2 linked regions of the Diceros bicornis minor genome follow. The protein of the gene in region 2 interacts with the protein of the main gene of each other region in a pairwise test. Links are inferred from orthologs where the notes say so. Each region holds a gene or a part of one and is shown on either strand. Other genes may lie near its edges.

Evidence for each region. The genes of interacting proteins can lie anywhere in the genome.
Region 1: the proteins of WIPF1 (region 2) and FASTK interact in binary tests that used the Homo sapiens proteins (3 or more experiments, as listed by UniProt). The two-hybrid records come from large-scale screens. The link is inferred for Diceros bicornis minor from reciprocal best matches to the Homo sapiens genes WIPF1 and FASTK.

What each region holds. Positions count from the first base shown.
Region 1 is NC_080742.1:96,740,644-96,751,560, reverse strand, and holds FASTK (fas-activated serine/threonine kinase), read left to right. Parts: upstream 1-6,322; 5' UTR 6,323-6,406; coding exon 6,407-6,488; intron 6,489-6,494; exon of another isoform or gene 6,495-6,737; intron 6,738-7,001; exon of another isoform or gene 7,002-7,281; coding exon 7,282-7,704; intron 7,705-8,191; coding exon 8,192-8,371; intron 8,372-8,498; coding exon 8,499-8,638; intron 8,639-9,115; coding exon 9,116-9,329; intron 9,330-9,412; coding exon 9,413-9,572; intron 9,573-9,795; coding exon 9,796-9,887; intron 9,888-9,969; coding exon 9,970-10,105; intron 10,106-10,181; coding exon 10,182-10,296; intron 10,297-10,398; coding exon 10,399-10,506; 3' UTR 10,507-10,593; downstream 10,594-10,917. Other genes in the region: TMUB1 (transmembrane and ubiquitin-like domain-containing protein 1), read left to right, coding at 4,578-4,966, 5,256-5,607. UniProt on the Homo sapiens protein: Phosphorylates the splicing regulator TIA1, thereby promoting the inclusion of FAS exon 6, which leads to an mRNA encoding a pro-apoptotic form of the receptor.
Region 2 is NC_080749.1:55,573,405-55,583,496, forward strand, and holds the start of WIPF1 (WAS/WASL-interacting protein family member 1), read right to left. Parts: upstream 4,392-10,092; 5' UTR 4,280-4,391; intron 1-4,279. UniProt on the Homo sapiens protein: Plays a role in the reorganization of the actin cytoskeleton. Contributes with NCK1 and GRB2 in the recruitment and activation of WASL.

The sequences.
Region 1 (10,917 bases), on a different chromosome or scaffold from region 2:
CGGGCGCTTCCCGGCGCGGCAATCCCCGCTGCCTCGGACCAGCCTCCAGCGGCAACAACAACGGGACCGGGAGCGCGCGGCCCAGGCCCTCCCCCCGCGTCATGCGCACGCACCGCCGCCCCCGCCGGCTCCAGCACACGCAGCTCAGGCCCCCCTCCCCGCCGCCCCCGCCCCTCCTGCGCGCCAGCCCCAGCGCCCCCGCCCCTCGCTCGCTCCCTGGTTCTGCAGCCTCCACCCCCGAGCCGCGCGCTCCAGCCCTGGTGCCCCGGCCCCTCCCACCTAGCCTTGGCCCTTCCGCCTCTTCTCCAGCCCCAACCCACACCCGCCGTGAGGGCCACTCGCTCTCAGGGGACGGCTGCCCTGGCCTCCTCCTGGCCCCGGCTGTCGCTTTCGCCTCCCTGTGCTGGTCTGAGTGGGGTGTCCGATCTCTCGGCAGTGCCCGAACAGTGCCCTACGCCTGAGGGTGCTGATCAACGCGGCTAATTGGCCAAGGAGGGCCGCCAGCCCAGGACCGGCTGCGCCTCACTTACGTCGTCCTGCCTTCAGTGCAGCACAAGCTCCCCTGTCCCCGGCCCCGAGGTCAACCCTAGAGACTACCCCGTCCCCTGGGGCTCTCCCTCTAGCCCTCCCCTGGACTCTCCACTGCTGGCTGCAGCACAGGCTGGAAATCTGGGCTCTTGGCTTCTATTTCCAGTTCTCCCTGAGAAAGTCATCAGTGATGTCCTTGGAAATGACACTTTGAACAACAACATCCCCACTCTTAATTTCTGCTCTCTCCTAAAAGACCTTCCTGCTGGACTGAGGAGGGTTCCGTGACCGCTGATGGAACCCACTGGTACATAGAGGAAAAAAAGAGAGGAATCAAATATTATGCCTTCTTCCCCCACTCACCCCATTCAAGACACTTACCAGAGGCTCTCTTAATTGTCCTCACCCCCTTGTGCATTCTATGTTCCTGTCCACTCCTTCTGGAGCCAGGGAGCTCCCTTCAATGTCCCAGTTCCTCTGTATCCCATTGCTAAAGCTGTCTGCAGTTCTGCTAGCCACCCCTCCCCAACCTTTCCTAAAACCCACCAGAGGTGGAATGAGCAGGGCACTGACCCAGCCAATCAGCCTGCCGTGGCTGCACCCCAATGTTCTCTGGCACAGTTAACACATATCCTTTTTACACATACTTCCACTTCCCAGGCCAAGCTGGACCTTTCCCCAGCATAAAGTTGCCCCTCATTCAGCAACCCACACAACTTTGCCCCAGTACCAACCTGGTCACCATTCCTGAGTTTCTTGTACCTTCCAAAGAACTAGATGCAAGCTAATCAACACCAGGGGCCTCCCCAGCTCCTGAGAGATATGGGTTCTATTTACCTGTTTGATCTTAAGGATGTCTTGTACCCTCACTGGGCTTCATCTACAAAACAAGTGGTTGAACACAACACCTAGCTCTGATCTGTAATTCTAAAAGCGGTATCTAACATCTCTTTTAGATGCTTAATTAGAATTGATGGGGCCGGCCCCTTGGCTTAGTGGTTAAGTGCATGTGCTCCGCTACTGGCGGCCGGGTTCAAATCCTGGGCGCGCACCGACGCGCAGCTTGTCAGGCCATGCTGAGGCGGTGTCCCACATACAGCAACTAGAAGGATGTGTAACTATGACGTACAACTATCTACTGGGGCTTTGGGGAGAAAAAGGGAAAAAAAGGAGGAAGATTGGCAATGGAAGTTAGCTCAGGGCTGATCTTCCTCAAAAAAAAAAAAAATAGAATTGACAACAGGAAGTTGCACCAGGTACCCCCCCCCCCCCCCCCCCGGGAGAGATGCTGAAGGTAAAGAGTTCCTCAAATGTGTTGCCCCAGCAGCCAGCACACCTGTTTTAGCGCTGGTGGGCTGTCTACCTGCCTGTCTCCTCTATTAATACATGAGCCATATAAAGGCAGGGACAGGGCCTGATTCACCATTGTATTCCCAGCATCTTGCACAGTGCCCGACATATAATACACATTTAATAAATGTTTGTGGAATAAATGAATGAATGGAAGGGAAGGAACTAGAGATAACTTAGTTCTTTTTCTTTTTTTTTTTGGTGAGGAAGATTGACCCCGAGCTAACATCTACTGCCAATCTTCCTCTTTTCTTGCTAAGGAAGATTAGCCCTGAGCTAACATCCGTGCCCATCTTCCTCTATTTTGTATATGGGACGCCGCCACAGAATGGCTTGATGAGCAGTGTGTAGGTCTGTGCCTGGGATCTGAACCAGCAAACCCCAGACCGCTGAAGCAGAGCGCCCAAACTTAACCACTATGTCACCAGGCCAGCCCGAGATAAGTTAGTTCTGTACGTTATAAATCTAAATTGACTTTCCCAAGGCAACACTTGGAGTACTTACTCCCACAAGTAGGCATGTGCTATGGGAACACTAGGGTACACAACTTTTAATCAAGACTGGCCTATAAAATCCGGGATGTGAGATCTCTGTGCCTATAGGAGCCCAGAGGAAGGAGGGAAAATCCACAGAAATTAGCTGGCCCAGGCCAGGCTGAGACTCAACATCCTCTACACAGTAACAGGCTAACGACCCAATTTCTAGGGCCAGGTTTGGGTGGAGGGAGTGTTCTAAAACTAGGTGAGCAAATATCTACTGAATGGCAGATTCCTTACATAGTTTTTGTTTTTTCTTTTTGTGAGGAAGATCGGCCCTGAGCTAACATCCGTTGCCAATCTTCCCCTTTTTGCTGAGTAAGATTAGCCCTAAGGTAACATCTGTGCCCACCTTCCTCTATTTTGTATATGGGATGCTGCCACAGCATAGCTTGATGAGCCCTGCATAAGTCCGTGCCCCGGTCCGAACCTGCCAACCCTGGGCCATAGAAGCAGAGGGTATGAACTTAACCACTACACCACCGGGCCAGCCCCACCTGACATAGTTTTCACACATTTAGTAAGCCACCTAATTTCTTCCTTACAATTGCCTTATGAGGTATGTTTTAGAAATGAAGAAGTTTAGGGGTCAAAGAAATTCAATAACGCATCCAAGGTCATATAGTTGATAAGCACGGGACAAGGGATCAGCGTTTGTGCCAGGTTCCAAAGTCCATGCTTCTTTCACAGTCTTGCAGGGGCGAGGTGGAGGAGGGGACCAGGGCAACAGGACAGCCCAAGCCACCCTGGCCAGCCCCGGGGACTGGTATCCTCAGGCATCCTGGTGGGGCAGCCCGTGGGTACTGGGTTCTGGGCTGAAGAATCCATTTAGCGGGCCCAAGGTGCCTGCTGGCGTCCACTCTTACATAAGGGTAGGCCGGGGTAGAGCCTATCTGAGCCCCCAAGAGTCTGCATCTCGAAACACGGGTGCGCTGACGTGCACTGGCTGACGTCCGTTTCTGGAGTGACAGATGCTCTGGCTGCGGGCGGGGGAGGGGGCGGATCCTGCTGCCGCCCAAACCTCTGCGCGCTAGCACAACCCCTGAACCCGCCCCCGCCGGCCTCCCAGCTACTTGCGGGAACCAGCCCGCCGAGCCCCGCACGTGGGTCTGCATGGCTGAGGGCGGGGACTGCTCACGGAGCTACACTACAAGTCCCACAATGCGCCAGGCGGAGGCGTCGGGGGCGGGGAAGGAGGGGTGTCTTCAGGTGTCTGCGACCTCGGCGCCTCCCGCCCGGAAGTGCCCGAGGGTCTGCTATGGAGCTGGCGCAGCCGGGCGGTGAGTACCCGCGCCGTGACCGCGCCCACCCCGCCGCCCCTGGCCCCCGCTCGCCCCGCCCGGGGCTCGCCCGTGTCCTCCCGCGGCTCCGGGGGGCGGGAAGATGGGAGGAGTGATGGAGGAGTTGGGGGTGGGGAGGGCGAAGTCTTGGATTCCCGGGCGTGATCTGGGGTCTGCAGAGGCTTGGGTTTGCAGAGGCTTCCAGAGGAGGCGCAGAGTCGGTCTGCCGCGGGCTGGGGCTTGAGTGGACCAGGAGGGACCCAGTTGGGTGAGGGGTAGCAACCCTTGGAGGCTCCGGATTGCCAAAAGGCGGAGTTTGACGTTTGGTGTGGGGAAGCCGTGGGAAGCAGTCCCGTGCCGCGGGTGGGATTTGGGTACATGGTAACGGGGTGGGGGTGGGGGGCATAGAGGCCCTTTTTCTTCCCCCTTGGAGAAACTTTAGCGACGGAGTAGATAACCTTTGGGGTAGATAAACTTTGGGATGAAGTGGACGGAAGAATAGGTAAGCTTTGGGTGAAGTTTGGTGGAGGTTGAATTTAGGGGAGAGGTTACTTAAAAGGTCAAGGCCCTTACCTCGGATAGGGTTTGGGTGAATTGGGGAACTGGTTAGAGACCAAGAACTCAGATTACAAAAAGTTAGGACTTGGCATTTGGTGATGGGAGAGGGCACACGAGGCAAGTTTGGGGTGACTGGGAGTCAGAGCAGTCTGTGCCCCCGGGGTGGCACTTGGTAAGGGGGCGGAGGAATGAGGGCTGCAGGAGAGTTGTGGTGGGATGGCTCAGGAGCCTGCTGAAGTTGAGACAGCTCTTGGCCAGTGAGCCAGCTCCTCATGGCTTCTTTGTGCCTCTCCAGCTCGGTAGCGTGGTGGGCAAGGCGGGTGCCATGGCCCTGATTGAAGGGGTAGGTGATGAGGTGACCATCCTTTTCGCGGTGCTTGCCTGCGTTCTGGTGCTGGCTCTCGCCTGGGTCTCAACACACACCGCCGAGGGCACCGACTCGCTGCCCCAGCCGTCAGGGATCCCAACACCAGCACAGCCCAGCGAAGCTATGGCAGTCACTGACAGCATCAGAGGGGAGGCCCCAGGAGCAGAGACCCCCAGCTTGAGACACAGAGGTCAGGCTGCACAGCCACAACCTGGGACGCCGCTCCCAGCAACGCCGCCACCCCCGGACTCCCCTCAGGAGCCCCTAGTACTACGCCTGAAATTCCTCAACGATTCAGAGCAGGTGGCCAGGGCCTGGCCCCACGACACCATCGGTTCCCTGAAAAGGTAAGCTGGGATGAGGACAGGAACGAAATGCTAGAGTGGGGTGGGAGTGATCACACACCTGGAAGGGCCACCAGAGCTATCTGAGACTGCTCCCTCATTTTATAGATGAGGGAACTGAAGTTCCCAAATTGCAGACTGTGTTGTTGCCCTGTAGCAGGAGGGGACCCCCTTGAAGGCCATGACCTGGGTGGTGGGAGGAGGGCAGAGATGAGGGGTGGGAGTGTTGTTCTGGGCAAGGGACTAGGATTGCCTGAGGCCTGCTCTATTACCCAGGTCCCTCTTTCCTCAGGACCCAGTTTCCCGGCCGGGAACAGCAGGTGCGGCTCATCTACCAAGGGCAGCTGCTAGGAGACGATACCCAGACCCTGGGCAGCCTTCACCTCCCTCCCAACTGCGTTCTCCACTGCCACGTGTCCACGCGGGTCGGTCCCCCACACACCCCCTGCCCACCGGGGTCAGAACCAGGCCCCTCAGGGCTGGAAATAGGCAGCCTCCTGCTGCCCCTGCTGCTGCTGCTGCTGCTGCTGCTCTGGTACTGCCAGATCCAGTACCGGCCCTTCTTTCCTCTGACCGCCACTCTGGGTCTGGCCGGCTTCACCCTGCTCCTCAGTCTCCTGGCCTTTGCCATGTACCGTCCGTAGTGCCTCCACGGGCTCTCGGCAGTGTTGCTGGCCGCTCTGGACCTTGCTCCCCACGACACGGTGGGAGCTGCTGTCTGCCCAGGCCTGCCTCTCCGGCCTGCCTCTTCCCACTACCCTGGAGCCCAGCCGTGCGCCGCAGGGCACTCCGGGGGCCGGCAGAGGCCCCTCCCTGTGACCTCCATGGCTCTGGGCCACCTCCCGGGGCTGCTGGCCCTCAGGCCCCACTGACAGTCGGCTCCTCGGTGTCAGGCAGCTGCTGTCGCTGCCTTGGCCCGGGGCAGAGCCGGGCCACGCCCCTGGGCCCGTCCTAGTGTTCTGAGGACCCAACACATAGCTTCTTGGGCTGATCTGGGGACCCAAAGACTGTGGGCGGCTGGTGAAGGGTAGCTGGGAGGAGCGGAGGGGGTTCTCCGGGACATGCGCAGATTAAATAACTGTGAAGTTTTCACTCTCGGTGTGTATCTGGGTTTGTGGGCCGTGGGGGCAGGGGGCGGGGAGCCCTCGCCCACTGGGAGAAAAGGAGTGAAGGGCTGTACGGGGCTCTCGCTCCTGCACAGCCTGCCCATACCGGCCGCTGGCTTCCCCTCTCCTCTGCGCCCCAGCTTCAGCTCCCAGCTCTCTGGCTCCGCCCCGGTGACGCGCGCGCAGCTTCCCGGAAACGGGGGGAGGGGCCTCGCGGCGCCCCGGCGCGCGGGGTCTGACGGGAGCCACGTCTTTGCTGGCGGACGACTGAGCCGGGATTGGTGTCCGGGCGGCGATCCGGGGCTGCTGGGAAGATGGCGGACTCGGTGGCCCGCCGATGAGGAGGCCGCGGGGGGAGCCCGGCTCCCGGGCCCCGAGACCGACTGAGGGAGCGACCTGCGCGGGGCCTGGGGAGTCATGTAGGGGCGGCGCCTGCGGGGCGGACGCGGGAGGGCGGCGGGAGTTGGTGTTGGCGACAGTGACGACCGTCTCCTGGCGCCCCCGGGCCGGGTGGGTGTGGGGGCCCCTGACACCGCCGACTCCGCGCCGCCGCAAAGCCGCTCTCTCAGCCCCACGGGCGCTCTGCGAGGTGGGCGCCGCGTGCTCGTTTCACGGGCGAGGAGGCTTGGGCGGAGAGACGAAGCCACTTGTCCAAGGTCACGCAGCTGGTAAGTGGGAGCGCCCAGCTTGGAACCCAGGACCGTCCGGCTGCGGAGCCCGTGTTCCACCCTCCGCGCCGCCGCCGCCGCCGCCTCCTGCGGGAGGGGGAGGTGGTCGGGAGGGCGTACGCACCGGGCGAGCTGGGCTCCAGGCTTGGCGCCACCACTAACCCGATTCGTGACTTCGGGCTTAACTTAACCCCTTCGCTTCTCTGGGCCTTGGTTTCTCCACCTGGGAAATCGAGGTAATGCCAGCCCTGCCTGTCTCCTCAGGCGTGTAGGGAAGATCAGAGGAGATAATGCATGTGGAACTGCTTTGTAAATGTCACTGCGCTGAGCACGCTGAAGGACTGTGATTGCTGCTTCAAATGAGTGGAAGGAGGCAGAGGGGCGGGGTGGGGAAGAGGACCAGAGCGGTCACAAGGAAGGGTGAACACGAGTCTAGGTTGCTCCGACCCCAGGCCTTCTGAACGGGAAGTGAGGTGAGGAGCAGATAGCAGGTCTTTCTCCCCTTTGGAGAAAACCTCACCCCCTTTTCTGGGCCACCCCTCAGGGTCTCCATCACCCAACTCCATGCTTCGAGTCCTGCTCTCTGCCCAGGCCTCTGCTGCTCGGCTGTCTGGCCTGCTGCTGCTCCCACCAGTACAGCCCTGCTATCTGGGGCCCAGCAAGTGGGGGGACCGGCCTGCTGGAGGAGGCCCCCATGCAGGCCCTGTGCAGGGGCTGCAGCGGCTTCTGGAACAGGCGAGAAGTCCAGGGGAGCTGCTGCGCTGGCTGGGCCAGAACCCTACCAAAGTGCGTGCCCACCACTACCCTGTGGCACTCCGTCGTCTGGGCCAGCTCTTGGGGTCTCGGCCACGGCCCCCTCCCGTGGAGCAGGCCACCCTGCAGGACTTGAGTCAGCTCATCATCCGAAACTGCCCCTCCTTTGACATTCACACCATCCACGTGTGTCTGCACCTTGCAGTCTTACTTGGTGAGGAGGGGTCTGGGGGTTGGGTGTTAGTGGAAGAATAGAGAGAGCAGCAGAGGCCCTGAGATCCCTGTCAGAATGCACCTCTCCGGTTTTGCCAGGAATGGCACGGGCCCCGCACACTGGCTGCTGCTCCCCGGCATCCACAGCAGACACGGGGGGTCAAGCAGCATTTGTCCAGCCTCCCTAGGGCGCCACTCCAGATCCCTTGTAATCTAGTGCTCTAGGAAGCCATGACAATGTCACCATTGGCAGGAGATGAGAACTTATTTGTCCTCTTTGTATAAGGCCTTCCCCACAGGCTGTTGTGATACCTCCTGTTCACGCAACATTTCACATTTCTCCAGTGTTTCCATTTATGCTAGAGCAAACCTTCCAGCCCAGAATGTGGAGACGAGGAAGGTTGGGAATTCACTAACTAATCCCCATGACTGGAGCGGAGCAGGGCAGTCCTTAGCAGGACTGCCTTCTCTTACCCTCTCCCTCTCAGGCTTCCCGTCAGATGGGCCCCTGGTGTGTGCCCTGGAGCGGGAGCGAAGGTTCCGCCTCCCTCCGAAGCCGCCTCCCCCTCTGCAACCTGTCCTTCGTGGTGGGCAAAGGTTGGAAGCTGCTCTGAGCTGCCCCCGTTTCCTGCGGTATCCACGGCAGCACCTCATCCGCAGCCTGGCAGGTGCTGGGGGAGCTAATGGCAGGTGGGGAGGGGCAGAGGAGGAGACAGGTGATGGTGTCTGGGCTAAGGTGGAATCTAGTCTGGAGGTCTGGCCTGAGGGTCCAGCGTCATGGGCTGTTCTTCGCAGAGGCCGGGCCAGAGGAACTGACCCCGCACGTGATGGTGCTACTGGCCCAGCACCTGGCCCGGCACCGGTTGCGGGAGCCCCAGCTTCTGGAAGCCATTGCCCACTTCCTGGTGGTCCAGGAAGCCCAGCTCAGCAGCAAGGTGGGATTACCTCCCAACCTCCCACGCTCCTCTCCTAGTCATCCTCAGTCACCCTGTCAGGCTCAGCTGCCTGTCCAGCTTGATTGGCTGCTTCCTGCAGCAGACAACCCAGGGAGGCTCTCTGCTCGTTCCCCCGGGACTCCATCTTACTCACACCCTCGGCTTGTCCAGCTCCCCAGCACTTATGCCTGGTTCTCTGCAGTTCTCCGGGCACTCTTAGCGCTGTCCCAGCTTCATTGATCCCACTCCTGAGCCTTCAGGGCCAGACCCACAGCGATGTCTCCTCTGCTTGTGTGGATGAATCACGTGGGGCTCAAGACTGCTCATGCTGTTGAACTTCCAGTGTGTATGTCACGGGTAGTAGGATTGTTCGATGTTATAAGCTTGCAGGCCACGCCTCCCCGGGGTTCAGCTTGTAAAGGATGTTGGAGAACCGTTCTGTGCTGTGCTGGGTGACAGGCTGCTCTTTCTCCACAGGTGGTACAGAAGTTGGTCCTGCCCTTTGGGCGGCTGAACTACTTGCCCCTGGAGCAGCAGTTTATGCCCTGCCTTGAGAGGATCCTGGCTCGGGAAGCCGGGGTGGCCCCCCTGGCCACGGTCAACATCTTAATGTCCCTGTGTCAGCTGCGGTGCCTACCCTTCCGAGTCCTGCACTTTGTCTTTTCCCCGAGTTTCATCAACCACGTCAGTGGTGCGCAGCCAGGAGGGCCGCTGGGAAGGGAAAGTGGGGTCGGGAGTCTGCAGCCCAGCAAGCCTCAGTCCACTGTCCCGCAGGCACCCCTCACGCCCTGATTGTGCGGCGCTACCTCTCCCTGCTGGACACGGCCGTGGAGCTGGAGCTCCCAGGATACCAGGGTCCCCGCCTTCCCCGAAGGCAGCAAGTGCCCATCTTCCCCCAGCCGCTCATCACTGACCGTGCCCGCTCCAAGTACAGGTGGATGGGCACCTTGGGGGAGGGGAAGACGGGAGGGGCTGGCCCGCAAGAAGCACAGAGTAGAAAAGCCAGAGGGACCGTGAACTGTCCACGCTGATGCACTCTTAGCAGTCACAAAGAAAAAAAACGGCCTTGAGGCAGCAAAGGCATTTGCCTGGGGTCATGGAGCTAGGCGGACCGAGCTAGCACGAGACTCCTGAGAGCGGTGCTCCTTCTCCCTCAGTCACAAGGACATAGTTGCTGAGGGGCTGCGCCAGCTGCTGGGGGAGGAGAAATACCGCCAGGACCTGACCGTGCCTCCTGGCTACTGCACAGGTGAGCTCCAGATGCGTGGGCGGTGGCCAGCAACATGGAGCCCTAGCTAAAAGCCAGTGGCCCTTTGTCTCCCCCCCTCCAGACTTCCTGCTGTGTGTCAGCAGCTCTGGTGCTGTGCTTCCTGTAAGGACCCAGGACCCCTTCCTACCATATCCTCCCAGGTCCTGTCCACGGGGCCAGGCTGCCTCTCAGCCCACTACCCACGACCCTGCCCAAAGGTAAGGGAAGAGGGTAGGAGACCCTCCTAGGCCTCCGTAGAGAGCATCCCTGAGCCCCCGTCTGTTCCCTCTCCAGGGTGGTGCTGATGCTGCGGGAACGCTGGCATTTCTGCCGGGATGGCAGAGTGCTGCTGGGCTCCCGGGCTCTGCGGGAGCGGCACCTGGGCCTGATGGGCTACCAGCTCCTGCCGGTGAGAGCCTCTGCCTCCGTCGCTCGACTCCATGTGCATCCTCACCCCACCCCCACCCTGCAGGCCTTGTGGGTTAGTAACCTGCTGCCCTCTCCCCCACAGCTACCCTTCGAGGAACTGGAGTCACAGAGAGGCCTGCCGCAGCTCAAGAGCTACCTGAGGCAGAAGCTCCAGGCCTTGGGACTCCGCTGGGGGCCCGAAGGGGGGTGAGGGGGTGCACACGGGTTCATGATGGCCCCCCTATGGGGGGTGGACAATTTGCACTTTGGTTCCCTCTGTTTTGGTTTCTCATTAAAGTCCCTTCCCTTCCCCATTGCGCATCTCGTTTCTGGGACAGGGAGTGGGCTGGGTCCCCTCATCTCTTTTCCATTCGTGCCCCCCCATACAGAGACAGAAAGCCAGGGATAGGTGGTGGCCGAAGCACTTTACTGCGGGAGGAGGGGGGGAAGGGGGAGGGAAGGGGACTTTTAAATTATTCACTTAAATAAAAATGAGGAGGGAGGAGGATGGGGAGAGCACCCCCCAGCCCCTGTTCCCTCCGTCCATCCGTCCTCAGCTGTCCATCCAGGCGGCAGCTACACAGGCATGGGCATCTCATTGTACTCGTCCACACCCTCCCGC
Region 2 (10,092 bases):
ATCTGAGTAGAAGCTACCTCACAGGGTTGTGTGACTATTAAAGGATTCAATGAAATGACACATAGTAAGTAGTCACATTAAAGGAAGAAAGGAAGGGAAAGAGGGAGAGAGAGTGGAAGGAAGGAAGGAAGACAGGAAGAAAGGAAGGAGAGATTTTTAAAAGCTTGGGTCAGATCATAGAAAGCTTTGAAGAATTTGATTCACTTAATATAACTAAGAGATAAAAGGAAATTAAAAAGAAGAAATTGAGTTATACTGGAAAGATGGCTCATTAGAAGAGAAAAAATATATCCATGGTAAGCAACGCTACAATGTATGCTTGTATAACATCACAGCAACATGTTTTTACAATATGAACCATGTTCACTGAGGCTTCTAAACTAATGAAAATTGTAGGTAATTTTGTCACCTGTTTATTTTAGCTATGTTCTTTTATTAAGTATTGGCTAAGTCAATTATTATTGACTTCTCACAAGTATTTATGACTAATCTGAAGACTGTAATAATGATCATGCTCCCCAGGAATCAAAGTTTCCTGACCCCTGACCACAAGAGAACACAAAAGCAATGGCAACCCTACCCTGTGGGCTTAGGTGCTACAGCTCGGCCTGGGGCAGTCTAATCCACTGGTCACCCCTACATCTGTATGACTGCCACAACATGTTACCCTGGCATCTCGTGGTGCCAAAGGGCCAGGAAGGTAGCCCATCTTCACTTTCCTGACCTTTATCTGCCCTGAAAACCTCAGCAGAGTAGGCTTGACTGGCTAAGCAGATACCACAGGCTGGTAGTCCCCCAATACTGAGATTCTTCTGTGAGATTCCTCCTTTTCAGTTGTTAACAGAATATGTACCAGGTGAATAATACCAGGTGACTGGTGTGAAACACACAATAAACTACAGACAGCTTAGGGATTATTATATGTTAATTTATATAAAAAGCAGTTCCTGTGTTTAGGCTTTTTTTGTATTTTCATACGGAAAGAGGAACAGCAATAGTACAAACGAACACTGATAACGATAATAGCCCAAAAATACCAAGCAGCAGCACCGTCCCGGATAATCTGCTAAGTGGTCCACGTCCATGACCGCATCCGCCCCTCATAACAACTCTGTAGAAAGAAGTGGTTACTCTCATTTTAAAGGTGAAGATATGGAAGTCGCAGAACTTGTCCAAGACAGAGCTGGGTGTAGAAGTAAGATCTGTCGGACTTACCGGCCGAGGCTTTAACCGGCACAGGATTTGCACGTGGTAGCACGTCAGCATCACCTGGGGGCTTTCAAAAAGTAGATTCCTGGGCCTCACCCCAGAATCAAGCCTTTATAAACTTCTAGTCACACCCCCGGCTAAGGACCAGCGCACTTCAATACTAGTTAAAGCACGTTAAGCAGAATAGCATTACTAAGCTAACTGAAGGTTTTCTGGGGGCTTTGGTGAGCCTAGAGTTTTTATTACTCCAAAGTATACAAAAGGCAGTTAGTTATTTTGACCTGACTGTAATCCCTACGTGGTGAGGAACAATTAGCAAATGTTGGGCTGGGCAATACAACGAGGCCGAGGGAGGAAGCATTCATTTGTGGCAGGGAGGCGGAACCTGAACTGTTCCTCAGTTGGAGCTGTGAGGGTGGAAAGCAATGTGAATGTGTTTATTAATCTTCCTGTGCCTGACACACAGTAGACACTTAACAAATATTTGTCAAATGGACAAACTAATCAAGGACTGACTCCCTCCAGCTGGAAGTAATTTCACTCCCCTCTAAATTCCCTTTATTTGATCTGTACCTTTTTTACCTTATTTACCACATTCTGCCTTGCATTCTTGCTCTTTGAAACCATGTCTCATCTCTACCAGAAGGTAAGCGTTCAGGGGCAAACTGCATCTCCTTCTGAGCTAGGTCTCCCCTTCTACTCCTAGCACAGGGCACAGCATCGACTCCATCAGGGAACTTCAATGTCAAATGAGTATCTGGCTTGATTCCAACTGTGACCTGACTCACATATGTGGGTCCTAGCCATTCACAGGTGTAAGCCCACCAAACCTTCCAGCACCATGGCAGAACCGTGGATTGCTAGGACATAGAGGCAGAGCATCCTCTGTATGGAAATCACTAGCAACTTGAGAGACCTCATTGGAGGGCAGGCTTCAGGAAGACCACGGCTCTGAGATACAGAATCCCAAATAGCAGATACTTAAAAATGAAGGGGGTACAGCAACAAATAAAAGGCACTTTTGTTTAGTTTTGTTCTCCTGGTGGGCACTGTAGAAACCATGTATGTTCCTAAAATGACAACCATAGTTAGGAGCACCCTGAAATACCAAAGACAGTGACACAGACCCAATGACGAACACTTCCCACAAAAGGGGGCTCATTCCTGGCCAGAGCACCAAGACACTGTAGCTCTTATCGCTCTTGTGTCTTTGTGCGACCACTGCCTGGTGTCTGGGTGTCCCTCTAATGCCTTGTGCCATCACGTGAGGCTTTTTGCTGTTTCACACTCCATTATCCCACTTGACAGGCCAAAGGGCACCAGTAAGTGGCTGAACAGACAGTAGACACTTAATTGGTCAAATGAATACACAAATGAAAAAAGGCCTGAATCTCTCCAGCTGGAAGTAATCCCATTGTCTCTAAATGTCCCAGAATTTGATCTTACCTTGCTTACAAATCCATTTGCTTTACATCACACAAACCTAAAAGAGTTTATGTGCTTCTCAGGAAGCCAAAGTTATGGCAGAAGTTGGGTAGGTCCCAAGGAAGAAGATGATGTTATTAAAATGCTTTAGTAACACCTGCAGAGTTTAATTTGCACACTTCCATTCAACAGGTAATAGAGTCCTACAGGTGGCTGGGGATTTGGTCCCTGAGAAACTCAACCTTGTGGGGACGATAGGCAGGTAAAGACAGCAAGAGCAGAAGGTAGTATTTTGAGCACTGTAAAGAGTGACTGAGATGCAAAATGCTGATGGCCTATTTGGGGTTCTCTCATCTCAAGAAGTCCAAAGGCGATTTACAAACTGAAATAGAAAATATCCTGGAGTTATTTTATCCGCAATAGAAAAAGGCATTTTTGAGGAGGAAAAACATGCCAACGACTCAGAATGAAGCTACAGTATTGTTCTGAATTGCCTTGAGAAACTGGCAAAAGAAAACCCACCCAGGGCGGGCCTGTGTCCAGGGGCTCCGCTGCTGCACCGCCTGCAGTCTGGGGTTACACGCGGCCAGGGATTGGAGGTGCGGTCCGGGGACTATCCAGGGGACAACAGTGACACGCAATTTTCAGAAAAAGGGACCAAGTCCACCCAGCCACTACTGACAACTCGAGAGTCTTCCTGGAGAACTAAGATAAGGCCAGCAGCCCCTGGCCCAGGAAGGGATATTCCTCCGAGATTAAGCAGGACCAGAGATTTAGCCAGGCCCGGTTCTTCACACAGACACACCCTTTGTTAATCTCAGAGAGGTCAAAGTCTAAGCACCAGTTGAAGATTTGGGTCGCCCCGACTGGGTCAGCTGGTTTCTCTAACATTTGCAACTTTTTTTAACTGTACTTTTTTAAAAAGGAAGAATATGTTAATTGAAAAAGGTTGGGGGAGTGAGACGAAGTGAAGCTGTCCGGAAAGTTCGGGAGAGGCCCGGGAGAGACGCTGACGGGGACTGAAAGTGCCTCTAAGGTCAACGCAAACCTAAGGCGCGCGTCTACACCCAACCCAGAGCGAGCACCCGGCCGGAGGCTAGTTTGGGAGCCGAGCTGCGGGATGGGCACGATGCCCTCAGCGAAGAAGGCGAGGCGGTTCCAGCGCACGAACTGGCCCGGGGATGCCCGAGAGTCCATCCGCCCGAGCTGGGGGTGTAGCTGCGCCCCCAGAGCATCCCCGCGAAGCCCGGGCCGCGGGGAACTGCGGCGGGAGCGGGTCCCGAGCCCCTCGGGCGGCCCCGGGGCCGGCGGAGCCCAGGAAGGCGCCCAGCCCGGGGGGCGCCCGCGTCCGGAGCCCCACCGCCCGCGGCCCCCTCCTCCCTGAGCAACCGCCGGACCCGCAGGACGCGCGGGCCGCGGCGCCCCGAGCTGCGCCCCTCCCGAGGCCGCGCGCCCCGACGTCCCGGGCCGCCCCGCCCGCCTCACCCGCCCCGCGCCCACCCGGTGCCAAGGGCGCTTCTGAGCCCCGGCGTCGAGCCCGGCCCCTCCCTGGCGTCCCGGGCGGCCGCGGGGCTCCTCATGGGCGCTGCCCTGAGACCCCGGAACCGGGTGGCGCCCGAGGCGGCGGCGGCAGCGCGTCCCTTACCGCGCAGCGGCTCCGGGCGGCTCCAGGGCCCCGCGGCGCGCAGGGCATTTTTGGGGAAACTTCTCCCTGGTCCGTAGGGCTGAGCCGGCCGGGCAGGAAAAGCGCTCAGCGCCGGGAGGCTGCGACCATCCGGGAACTTCGCTGAGATGTAAACCCTCCCCCTCGGCTCCCCGTCCCCCCCCTGCGGCCCCGCCACATGTGGACGCGCCGCGAGGCCGCCGCCGGCCCGCCGCCGTCTCCTCCGGGCGCCGCGCCCGCCCTGCCTGTCCTGAGCCTCTGCGCCCCACAGCCCCGGGTCCCCCCGAGGAGGCGGCGGGAGTGCGGTGGGCAGGAGGCTGGGGCTCGTGTGTTCCTCCGTCCCCTTCCCCAGCACAGTGAGGGGACGCGGCCGTGGGGTCCAGGACAAGCTTTGCAGAGGAGCGGGAACTGGAAGGGGGTCCAACCAAGGGCCCTTTCCCCCAAAGACTGCGTCCTCTCCAGCTTCCCGCCGCTGGGGCTCCCCTCCCGCACCCCCAGGGAAAGCTTTTTCCCTATCACCTTCACCTCTGTTCTCAAAAGAGAAGATCCGGCTTTGAGACACCTCGAATTCAAATTCATTTTAAAAATGAATTTTAAAATGGAGTGAAACCCACAGATCCCCAAGGTCCACACGCATCTGTCTCCCCGCCCCCTGTGTGGGGACAACAGTGCTGCTCTCCCCGTGGAAAGCTGCCAGTTCTCCCCACCAATGGGTTGGATTCTTTCAGTAGTTTTGCTGCTGGCGGGGATGGCTCTACCATCAGCCACCCACATCCTCAAATACGGTAGGATCACAGCAAACGTTTGGAGAAAGCTGAGGCTCTCCTCCATTGCGAGAGCTGTTACCACGCCCTGGTCAGCTCTGAAAGCCGCCACCTCCAGGCCCCAAAGAAAAGTTAACACTAAGACGACACAGATATTAGAATGTGTGCGTTTGAAAAGAACAACAACTTTTGATCAATATAATAACCATTTAATCGTATTGTTAAAAGACCAAGGCTGTGTATCCCTTCGAATAAAAACAGAAAAAGTGGGACTATATGCGCTTCAGAACTGATGTCCTAGGCTGAGGAGGTTGTTCATCCTTAACTTTAGGCTGTCTCTGTTCCTACGCTATTCCCAGGTGCACACTTGTACCTTGACATGCTCTTAACAGACACAATAACCCTTCTGGGAAAGAGATTTGGTAACATGGGTAAACTCTTCCCATTGACAAACTTTTGTCCCGAAACATACCCATCTGTTTAAGATTCATTATATATTTGCTTTTCTTTTAAACGATTTCTATGGTAATATGCACATGTTATGTTTTGTATAAAATGAAGACAAGTGAGTTCATATATCAGTATGTTATTCTAGACTTGAAAACAAATCAGGGCCAGCCCGTGGCTTAGCGGTTGGGTGCTCGTGCTCCGCTGCTGGCGGCCTAGGTTCGGCTCCCCGGCACGCTCCAACGCACCGCTTCTCCGGCCATACGGAGGCCACGTCCCACACACAGCAACTAGAAGGATGTGCAGCTATGACATACAACTACTGGGGCTTTGGGGAAAAAGAAATAAATAAATAAAAGTATTAAAAAAAAAAAATCAATAGCACTTATCACAGCGTGGCATGGAAGTGAAGCCCAGGAGTTGTCTGATTTTCTTACCTGCTCTCTAAGCCTCAATTTTTGCTTCCATCAAATGGGGATAACAATAGTTTTTATCTGCTAGCTTGTTGTAAGGAGTAAATGTGATAATCCCTCTAAAGGTGAGTAGAGTAGTGGCACACAACTAGAACAGGAATCTCACTTACCTTTGATATCCCCAAGTCCAGCAGAGCTCCTGGCACCTTGTAAGGAATTGATTAAATAGTTGTTGGGATAAGAACTCTCTTGAGTTTATGTCTTTCAAGAATCTATGTAAATTTTAGCATTAGTGTACACAAAAGAAAATCAGCAAGGTAAAATGCATGCCCCCTCCCCTTATTTCATCATTGGAAGCCAGAACTAAGTGGCGTTCGGAATTGTCCGCTGTTTTAAATCACCAGTAAGGCCAGTGATCAGTTGCCCAGAATGCGCCTGGCTCTCTCTTCTCAGATCCAACACTTCTCTCAATAAGGTCAACGTCTGAATAGTATTTTATCACTGGTAATTTTCTTGTTTCCCTAAGTGGGCTATGGTTATGTAAGATGTTAACATTTGAAGAAGCTGCGTGAAGCAAATATGGAAACATTTATTACTATTTTCACAACTGAATTGTAAATTTGAAATAATTTCAAGCTGAAAAAGTTTTTTTAATTAAAAAAAAAGATCAAAGCCTAAAATTCTACAACAGATACCTTCTTCCCTTGGGTGATGCCAAATCATAGCTTAAAATGAAGATACTGAAGTTAGGAGCGGGCAGAGGTATTATGCTAAAACTTTGCAGTCATGTACACTTTTGTATAAATGAGTTAATAAGAAAAAATGGCTTCTTGAGTGCTGCTTGAAGACAAAGCTAGGCTGGAAATGTTATAATGATCTTGGGATAGGGGAAGGGAGGGAGACAGAAGGACATTGAGACTGGGAAAATTAAGACAAATTTACCAGAGCACAATATTATTAAATACATGTTTGCTTATCATTTCCATGGCTACCATTTTGGGACATACCTTGACCTCTAAACTAGCCCTGTAGTGCCTTAGAAGTTCTGCTCTTATAACAATTACTTTGGGGCCGACCCCATGTTGTAGCGGTTAAGTTCCCGTGCTCGGCTTCAGTGGCCTGGGGTTCGCTGGTTCGGATCCTGGGCACGGACCTACTCACCACTCATCAAGCCATGCTGAGGCGGCGTCCCACGTAGAAGAGCTATAACTCTACAACTATGTACTGGAGCTTTGGGGAGAAAAAAAGAAAGAGGAAGATTGGCAATAGATGTTAGTGCAGGGTCAATCTTCCTCAAAAAAAACACAATTATTTGTTTATTGTAATTGCTTGTTTAATGCCTGTCTTTCCCCTGTAGACAGTAACCCCAATTTGGGGGGAGGGGCATGTGAAGGGAACTGCCTGCCTGGTTCACCGCAGTATTCACAGTACCTGGCACATTCTTAGTCCTCATTACCACTTGATGAATGAATGCCAAGCACTAGGCTTTTACATCTAGTATCTCATTTAATTATCACAGCAACTTGGTGAGTTAGATATTTGTCCCCATTTTACAGATGAGGAAACTGACTTGGAGAGCTTGGGTAACCCACCCAAGATCCCTCAGCTTGTGAAGTTCAGAATCCAGATTATTTTGACACTAACATCCTTGCTCTATTATGCATACTGTCTATTAACTTGACTTCCTGTGTTCGTTCCATCTCTGAGCTTCTGCTGGTATGAATGACCTGAATTGACTAGCGTCCAGATTCCTTTGTGCAAAATAGCAAAAGAAGAAAATATTCTATTTATATTTGCAGAGAATTATTGGGGTTCAGGTAGATCTGGTTAAAGGCGCCATAGTAGCTTGAATGATTTTGGTTCTCTCTTCTGAATTAATGCAGGGAGGAAGTGGAATGCTATGTGGGATAAGAACACCATGACAGCCAGGGCATGGTGCAGGGAATCAGGGTCTGCTGGAGGGAAGGAGTCTGGCTGGTGCTTGGCACCCAATGGGTGGTCAGTACATATTTAGTGGATTGACCAGTCTCTAGAACTGAGAAGACCGACCCCTTGAATGCTGAATGTTTTACTTATTTGGGCCACAACTTACTCCAAAACTTAAAACAGTAAGAGTTGGATATGACGAAACTTAAATCTTAGTCTGGGATGGCAAATTTATTATGTATTTTCAATCTTTATCATTTTCGTTCCTTACTAAAAATATGTTCTAATTCTAAACCATTCAAGTGTTCCATAGCATAAATGTAGAAAGCATCCCCCACAATCCCATTCTCCAGAGATAACCACTGTAATGGTAGGATGTATATTCTTCTCCATGTTTTTTTTCTATGTATCCTTATTTTTTTTAAATCAACAAATATTTATGGAAAGCCTGGGGAATGGGATCATACTATACATCTTCTGTAATTTACCTTTCTATTTCTACTAAGTAATCTATTGCATTAGTTTCCTGTTGCTACATAACAAACTACCAAAAATTTAGCAGCTTAAAACAGCATCCATTTATTATTTCACAGTTCTGTAGGTCAGAAGTCTGAATATGGCATGACTGGATTCTCTGTTCAAGGCATCACAGGCTGAAATCAAGGTTTCAGCCAAGCTGAGTTCTCCTCTGGAGGCTTTGGAGAAAAATCCACTTCCAAGCTCATTCAGGTCAGTGGCAGAATTAAGTTCCGTATGATAGTAGGACTAGGGTACCCATTCCCTTGCTCTCAGTCAGCTGGGGGGCTGTTCTCAGCTCCCAGAGGCCACCTGCATTCATGTCATGTCTCCATTCAGCAATGGAGAATCTCTCTCACGCTGAATCTCTCTCACACTTCCATTGTCTTTTACCAGGAAAAACCCAGTCCCTTTTAAGGGCTCAGCTGATTACATGAGCTCCATTGAGGAAATTTCCCTATCTTAAACTCGACTGATTTGGGATCTTAATTACAACTGCAAAATCCCTTTACATCAGCATCTATATTAGTGCTTGCTTGAACAACTGGGAGAAAGTGTGTGTACACCAGGGAGTGGAAATTTTGGGGGCCAGCTTAGAATCCTACCTACCATAGACATCAAGGTTTATCTTTCCATTTCCCTAAATATAAATCTACATCATTCTATTTAATAGGTACATAGTCTTTCATGATGTATTATATATTGTATATTATATGTATGATGTATTATAATTCAACCAAATCCTCTATTAGAGAACATTTATGTTACTTCCAGTTATTAGCCTTTTAAAAATGCACAATAAACATTCATGCTCTCAAATGCTCATGCACCTATGTACTTCTGTAAGTTAGTATCCTAGAAGCAGAATTGCAGGGTGGAAGGGTTTGCCCTTTTTGATAGATACTGCCAAATTGCTCTCCAAAATGTGAGTACCAATTTATACTTCCTATGACAGTATACAAGAATAGAAATAGCTAATTCTCATGAACAGTCAAATTCCCTTCACAGACTGTTTCATGAGGAGGCCATAAGTGTAATCGTTAAGTGCATGGGCTCTCAGTCCAGTTGTCTGGCTACCAGTCTTGGCTCTTTGATTTCCTAATTGCATGGCCTGGGGCAGGTGGCTAAGCCTTAGTTTCTGTATCTCTAAAATGAAGGTGATAACAATGGCACCTCTTTGTATTAGTTATCAGTTGCTGTGTAACAAATTACCCCAAAACTTAGTGACTTAAAACAACACACATTTATCATCTCGTAATTTCTATGGGTTGGGAAGCTGGATGTGGGTTAGCTGGGTGTTTTCGGCTCCAGGTCTCTCACAAGGCTGCAGTCAGGGTGCCAGCCAGGGCTGCAGTCATCCCAAAGTTTGACTGGGGGAGGATTCACTTTTGAGTTCACTCGTGTGGCTGGCTTCGGGTCCTCACTGGCTGTTGGCTGGAGACATCAGTTTGTTGCCATGTGGGTGTCTCCACAGAGCAGCCCACAATGTGGCAACTGTTTTCCCTCAGAGTGAGTGAGCAAGAGGCAGCACCCAAGATGGAAGCCACTGTCTTTTTGTAACCTAATCCTGAAAGTGACATCCCATCGCTCTGCCATATTCTAGTCATTAGAAGCAAGTTGCTAAATGCAGCCCGCACTTAGGATGAGGGTGTTCCACAGGGTGTGAATATCAGCAGGCAGGGTCATTGGAGTCATCTTGGAGGCTGCCTACCACACTCCTCATGAAGGT